2 linked regions of the Drosophila melanogaster genome follow. The protein of the gene in region 2 interacts with the protein of the main gene of each other region in a pairwise test. Each region holds a gene or a part of one and is shown on either strand. Other genes may lie near its edges. The genes, in order: woc and Nha2.

Region 1 (3,921 bases), 4.3 Mb from region 2:
GCGAAGGTTTTTCTTCTTCGGGCACAACTATGGTGCCATCCACTTCGAAGAGAACGTGACCGAACAACTGGGTTACCTCAACGAGCTGCTGGAACTGCTCCATGTCCTCGTAGCGCAGGTTGTTCACATCCTGGTAGTTCTTCAGCGAGGTCAGCAGTTCGTGATCGGAGAGATCTCCATCCTTTTTCAGGATTATCATCAGAGCCTTTAGCTCCTTAACACTCAGCTTGAGGAACGAGTTGTCCATGAGCACCTGCGTGGCTACGGGGAGGATTTTCTGGAATGGTATGGGGATTAAGCGAGATAAAAGTGCGGAAATTCATACTTTCGCCACGAGATCCATCAGTGCCGGATGGTGGTGCTCGCTGGCCAGGTGGAAGACCTGCAGAACCACCTCCATGGGCCACTCCTGGTGGGCCAGCTTGTCGATGTAGCAGTCGATGAAGTCCAGCATCTCGTAGCGCTCGGCCAGCAGCATGAGGTCACCGCACATGTCGATGGTCACCGCATTGCACACCTCGTACGTGTAGATGTAGAGGAGCAACGCCTCGTAGGCGGTGGGAGAGGCGTCGTCCACGCTGATCACTCGCTTGTTCTTCTGGAACTCGGGATCCCTGATCAGGCGCTCGAACTCCGCGGAGGCGGAGATGAGCATCACCTGGTGGCAGCGGAAAATGCATGGACAACGCTTGCCCTCCTTCAACTTGTCCGGTTGCGAGACATGGAGCTCGCAGTCCGACTTTTGGCCATTCCGCAACAGGTCCAGGCGGCGTAGCTTGCAGTTCATAGTGACTGGGGATTTTTTGGAGGCTTTGCTCTCACATAGCACAAAATTTGGAATTCGAAATTAGGGTTTCCCTGGCAGGAATGTCAGACTCTGAGAAGGAGGCCGCCGGCAAAGCCCACCTGGGAAGCAACAATCGGTGGTCCGACCTGGAGGAGGAGGAGGAGGGTGAGGCGAACGACCAGGGAGGGATCCAGAACTTGAGGCCGGAACTCGTTGTGCCCAGAACCACAGCTGCATCGGATGTTGAGGAGAATTTACCATTGGGTTCTCCGAGTGATGGGTCCAAACGCGCTACGAGTAGAAACCGCAGACTGGAATACTTTCGCAGTGGAGCCGATGCCGATTGCCAGGTGCACGTCCTGAGCAACTGCCCCCAATCCGATGAGCCGGCGGTCAGTGTGTGCTACAAGAAATTTGGCTGCCATCGGATCTTCCTGGCCACTGCCTCCGACAAACTGGAGCAGGACGTGTACCAGAACAAGGACTGGAACGGCGTACTCCAGATCAATGGGGTTTCGCCCGAGAGCGTGGAGATCTTCCTGGAGTTCATATACACCTTCGAGGTGACCTCGCCGCTGGTCCAGCTGAAGCTGGTGGGGGATATGTTCATCCTGTCCTGCGCGTACAACATGCCGGAGCTCCTTCGCTCCTTTGCTGAGAAACTAAAGGAGCAGGAATTGCCTCTGGATGGCATCTTTCCTGCCTTCGACCTAGCATTCCGGCATAACATCATCGATGTGGAGCGCGTTTGCATCGAGGTTAGTAGATTGGAATATAAAATGGAGCCTTAATTTAGTTAGTTATCCTTTAGAAAATCATAGAGGAAGGCGCATCATTGATCCACGAACCCAGTTTAATGAAACTCCCGGTCTATGCTCTAAACTACGCCATCCAGCACTGGCTGGTGGCGGATGCAGTGCCTCCCGATGAACTCATCACGATTTTAAAGCAGTATCAGGAGATCAATGAGATTACATTCGCCAACACGCAAAAATTCCCGCACTTCACCAAAATTATCAAGTATTTCCCCAATGTTCTTCTGGACGCCGAGGGATTCATCAATCAAAACTAGAAAACTACTTGGAATTCCCAAAAGCTTCGCGCATAAAACCCAAAAATTTAAAAAAAATAAGCCAATAAAATATCAGTTCTCATTAGCATTGTATTGGGTATCTTTTGCATATGGCAAACTGGAAGCTCATCTAAGGGGAAGCTTAGATGAAAGACAGTCTATATTTAAGTTGTAGTTTTCAATAATTTCCTATTGATCAAAAGCGATCCAAACTTTAGAAGCATTTTTCAAAAAGATAAACGAGCAGTGCTGCCAACCGGTTGCACCACTCACGCCGGTATTTTCTTATGCGCCATTTTCGGTATTTTCCGGCAGATACCAGCCAAGAAGCGAACGCGTTATGCGAGGGCCGCATTTGGTACACTAGTGCGCCATTTTACTCGCATAAAGCCGAAAATTCACACAGTGGCCAGAAAGCGAGAAATTGCACAGTGCAAAAAGGTGTTTGGTAATTGATGAAAAGTTTTGCGCGTACCGTGAACCGACCGTTAATGATGTGCCCGCACGCGCAGCGGTGAAAGGCAGTTAATTCGCCTGTGGAGACGCGCTCACCACAACAAACTCGTGCTGTCCGAAAAAAAAAGTCGGCGCTCGGATTGCGGATTATCGAAGTACCGTACGGCAAGGCAGCAAAAAAAGTACGGAAAAGCCGCCCATGCAACGCGGCCAAAAAAGATAATGCAAGTGCAGTAATATTAATTGCCTGGCAGAGCGGCGCATACAGACACACTCCTCCTTTTTTCCCCACTTTTTTTGTTCTCTGGAGGCGCATGTTTTGTTTTTTCGTGCACTGTACCGTGGGCTCAGTGTGTGTGTGTGTGCGTCGGTGTGCCTGTGCGTGTGTGTGTACACATTTTAGGCGGCAATGGTGTGGGGCCCTGGCCAGCCGATAGTCCGCCGCGCCGCGAATGTTATCGATAGACGAGCCCTAACCATTTGTTGTTTGTTTTCCTTTTGTTGCAGTTTTCATGTCTATATAAACAAACGTACAGCGAAAGTCGGTTAAAAAATCAAGCAGCGAAATGGAGGAGATATCCAGTTTGGACTCGTTCGGCGCCGATTCCAATGCGCGACCGGAGTCGGCCACCCCCAGGTCGGAGGAACAACAGGATCAGGATCGACAACAGACTGCTCCGGCGGCCAGTGAAACTCTGGATACGCCCGCCTCGCCGCCAGCGGAGGATGCAGCTGCGCAGGAAAGCAAACCGCCTCCTTCCAAGGAGGCGGATGACGACTTCGAACAGATCTCCGAGGGATCATTAGACGCCGATGATAACCAGTCGCGGGATAAGGCGGCTAGTACACCAGCTGATCCCGTGGATGCGGAGGAGCCCGCCGAGGAGCCAACGCCCAACGAGGAGCCGCAAGGCGGTGAGGATGAGCAGCCACAAACAGAAGCCGTGAGGGTAGATCCACAGGAAGAGCCCGAGGAGGCGGAGGAGGAGACTGATGCCCTCCAGGCCACTGCGGAAGAGGTGGAGGCAGCGGCCGCCGAAGCAGATGCTGTGGACGGCGGTCCCGCTTCACCCGAAGCAATGGATGTGGATGAAGGCGAGGTGGATGCAGAAGGTGAAGCTGAGCAGGAAGCAGAAGACGACGCAGCTCTGGATCGAGAGGCGACAGATGATGTAGATATGCAGTCCGTGGGCGCAGATTCACACCAGGCGGAGGATGCAGAGCCACCGGAGGGCCGAGATGAGGTGGACACAAGCTTAGAGGAGCAGGAAAATGGCCAAGATCCTGATGAACGGGAGAAAGATGCGGCCGCCGATGAAGATGATCCGGATGCAGAAGGAGATGCGGAATCGGAGCAGGTGGATGAAAATGCCGAGGAAACTGGTGAGGCCGAACATGGCGATGGTAAGTCTTAGTACTTCTTTGATGCATGTTTATAAAAGACTAAATGAATGAACTATTTACATTATAGACACAGTGGAAAATGTTTTGGAGCCAGAGGAATCAGATGTTTGCCTTATTCCCGATGATCAAGAAACGGAAGTGACTGAAGCTGAGAAGGAACTGGCCCGCGAGAATGCCGAGAAGGCCGCCGAAGAGGAGGAAG
Region 2 (3,921 bases):
GCAAAACAATTGCTGCTCTGGGAGTTTCAAAAATACTAGCTACTCGGCTGTGGGCGAAAAACCAGCAAGGGCCACCTGCCAAAACAGAGGAGCGTAAACAAAAAGCTCGGCCAACGAAAGTGGTCCACACACATGGCCAGCAGGGCACAGCCTTGCATATTTCCAGAAATCAGAAGGAATGTGTAGGAAATGCCTGCCTTTGAGTTTGAGCCGGGACGGTAGATGCACTGGACTGTCAATCGCAGACACTCTGTCGTCAATATGCGGAAATATTACGTATACGCCCCTGTGTCCCCCGCCCGCCTTCGCCATCTTGTGCAAGATGTGATTGTGCGGTTCACTTAAAATCGAAATGCCTCAATCAGCTCCTGCCAGTTGAGAGAAAAAGCTGTGATTCTGCCAGGATATCTCGACGGCGAAACAAAAACTTTGCATAAACAAACTATGAATACTCGTATATGTGCTGAAGTGCATATGTGCATATCTGAGCACGCATTGTGCACTTGGCTGTCGGAGCCACTTCGCTTGGCTGGCCAACAAAGCGTTGGCATGGAGCTGTTCCACTGGATGTCTCTGTCTTCAGCATCCTTTTTGCCGTCCTGTCTGCGGGTTGTGTGCACACTGATCCGGGGAGCTGGTTGCATAAAGGCAAGAATTTCCGTAACAAATACTTTCGTTCCGCATTTTTCGAATTTCCCCATGACGACGCGGTGCAATTAAACATATCACTCACCTTCGATGGCGCTTGGCGCGGTGCTTCCATGGGCACGAGGGGGCACCTGTGGCTTGTCGCCAAGGAGGTGCTCCTTTTCCGGCTCCAGGATGCTGGCGGTCACCGTTTCGCTGGCTCGACGCAGCATATGCAATGGAGTCAAGTTCGCATCACGATCGCGTTCGAAATCTTGCTGGCAGGAGGACATTTGATACGAGTCCTCGAAGGGATTGCTGCTGCGAAAGGCTTGCAAGGGTGGACCCTCACTGCCTGCCACTACATCCAATATATCTAAAAAAAAATATATATATATATATAAATTAATTTGTATGATATTAAAATTAAAATCGCTTTATATTCATACTTTTTTCCCACAAAAAAAATTGACTCAAGCTATTTGGTAACATTTTTAATTACGCATGATAGATAAAGCCGAAGGGTTGCTAATCAAACAAAAAATATTGATAATTCCATTCTACCATTCTTATTTTCCAGTCCCAAGTATATAAATAAAAGAGTTAATTTCCCAACAATTTGACTTGTGGAAGCCCGAACATATTTGCACACGATTTATTTATTGGCACTTGGGCAAAAAGTGGCATTTAATTGATTAACCATAAACTCGTAAATTAACGCCGAAAGTGAGTATCGAAAGCTGCCAGAATCGCTTACCGGAATCGCTGCTCATGTCGAATGTCGGCGAAATCCAGAGAACAAAACAAAACTGAGTGATTGAGTGAAAAAAACGCGGAAAATAATGCCAAAGAGCGACAACTGCTGACGCAATCAGTACGATGACGTAGTCCAAATGGCTATTCTTGGCTCAAAATTGACGAGTGCCAAAGAGAAACGCCGCGGTTTGAAGAGATTGGTTAGCTGCGAATCGAGTGGATATATAGTATATAGTATAGTATATGCAGGGAACGGAACACGCGCGACACGACCGGCGGAAAGGCGGAATGAAATAGTGTAGTAGCCCCGGAACTTGAGCACTTGGAGCTTCTTTTTATTACAGCTCATGCACTGGCAAATATTTGCCAAACGCATTAATTAGAAAAGCAAAAGCCATTTAAACAAGCAATTGCCGATTCGCGCAGCTCCAGCGAGCGCTCTTCGATTAAAACTAATTGGCAAACAAACAAGCTCTGCGGAAGGCGAACCTTCTGTTTTCATTGCTGTCGAGCGAAAAGTGCGGAATGAGTTGGTTTCTGGGTTGGGTGAAATGAGGGGTGGGGGTGGGGTCTGTTTGGAAGCACTTACATATTTATAAGGGGTTCGTTTATCTGCGATTCAATATGCCCATAGTTTTCTAAGGCGCAGCCAATTAGCTGATAAATAATTGTCATGTAATCATAATTTATCTGAACTAGATAAGGCGCCGAATAGCCGCGTTATTAATAGACCTCTAATCATAGCGCATTTCCCATGTGTGAGTGTCGGAATGATTAAACGCTTTCACTTTTTTTTAGGGAAATGTGCGCGACCTGCCCCATTTGAGCTCTATCATTGGGGCGGCAATTCTGTGCCATAGATGGCGCTTTAGTTTGCCAGCTGCGTTTACATGGTATTAAAAAAAAAACTACCTTATATTGTTTTTATTATTAATTATTAATTTTTGTGAGCTTGGAAAGCAATTATATTTCCTTGAAGTAAAAAGAGTTTCGCTTGTCTTGCAAATTGTTTTTCTGACAATTTGCATTTTGACGTTGCTCATCATATTGGGCGCCGTGGCCACTCCCACGCCGTGGCTGTAATTTAATTGCTTCGCTGGAATATTTTTAATTTACCTGATGGACAAACCAGCCCCATGACAAAGATAACCAATCGCAGTGACGTCACCACCATTATCCAGTGCTCCAGTCAGATCATCTCCTCATCAGGTGCCACACGTTGTTGCGCAAAAAAAGTGTCGTTTGCGAAAATATTTAATTTATTTTAACTATGCACACACACTTTTTTGCACTGTATGGAGTTGCAGTTGCACTCTCACTCTATAAGATGGCCATTATGACGACGATGATGATGACTATGATGATGGCTCAAAAAAAACAGGACATTGTGAGGTGCGGGGCGCTGCAAAAAGGATAATACAACTTTCTCGCTCTATTTGCCACGCACACACATGTTGTTACAGTGCCGTGATTTTTGTTGCATCAAATTGGAATTTTTTCCTTAAATATGGTAAACATCGATGGGGCAGAGATTTATGTATAGTGCAGCGGCGCGTTGATGAAAATGACTCGCCGCTGCATTGACCGTGTTTACTGTTTGTCAGACAGGGCAGCAATTTACGCCCACATGCAAAAAACATTAATTTGCATGCAAGTCAATTATCAGGAGGCAGCAAACAGACAGGCGCTAGTTACCAGTTTTCAGTATTCAGTTTTCTGTTTTGAGTTTTCAGTTTTCAGTTTTTCAATTTCTTTTGCACAAACATTGGTGTTATTATTCCGCCATAAGGATGCAAGGACTAATGGAGATACTCTTGAAATGGGTCATGATATTCCAAAAGAATCGCATATGGCGCAGAAAGATTTATTTTGTTTTTCATTAAAGTACCATACAAACCATTAATTTAGCTCGCTACTCTTATAGAGCATCTGCAGGTTGTTGAGCTCAACGTGGACACTCAATGGCGAGGACTTTCAAACTGCCAGGCCAGCACATTTCTAAATGTTTTTATTAATTAAAAATATTGCAAATTAAACACATTTCCAAATTGCGTTTTGCATTTTTCGTATAAATACGCGGTCGATGGAAAAAATGCAAATATAATTTACAAAGCATACATTTCACATTTTATTCTTATTTTATGTTCATTGCATTTTGGTTTGCTCTATCGCCGCTTTCGCAGCCATCAGTTCTTAAACTTGCCTCAAAGCTCTTAAACACGATTACTACCTGCTAATTAGCTTAGAATACCTATGTTTTGGGACCAGTCTTGGGTGCATGATGGGGTCTACCTGCTTTTGATGGTCACCTCGCACTTGGCAGCCAGATTGCGGAGGGTGAGGAACTGGCCGGATGCCCTAATCTCCGGCCAGCTGCACCGGAGCGAGTGAGCAGGTCCCAGGAATCGGTGGCCCGGAGTCTCGATGACAGTCTCGAAAGTGGGTCCATGTGGCAGGTGGTCTAGGTGCCACAGGAAGACGGCGTGCTCATCGCCGCCGCCGATCGCAATGACAGCCAAGAAAAATGTGTGCACTCTG

The links.
Region 1: the proteins of Nha2 (region 2) and woc interact in a two-hybrid assay, tested with the Drosophila melanogaster proteins (one large-scale study listed by BioGRID).

What each region holds. Positions count from the first base shown.
Region 1 is NT_033777.3:27,262,353-27,266,273, reverse strand, and holds the start of woc (without children), read left to right. Parts: upstream 1-2,218; 5' UTR 2,219-2,497; exon of another isoform or gene 2,498-2,539; intron 2,540-2,822; 5' UTR 2,823-2,881; coding exon 2,882-3,719; intron 3,720-3,786; coding exon 3,787-3,921. Other genes in the region: CG14260 (uncharacterized protein), read right to left, coding at 1-277, 326-787; CG14262 (uncharacterized protein), read left to right, coding at 868-1,545, 1,599-1,859.
Region 2 is NT_033777.3:22,996,781-23,000,701, forward strand, and holds the start of Nha2 (Na[+]/H[+] hydrogen antiporter 2), read right to left. Parts: upstream 1,749-3,921; 5' UTR 1,401-1,748; coding exon 1,385-1,400; intron 1,006-1,384; exon of another isoform or gene 1,004-1,005; coding exon 734-1,003; exon of another isoform or gene 1-733. Other genes in the region: CG34375 (uncharacterized protein), read right to left, coding at 3,672-3,921.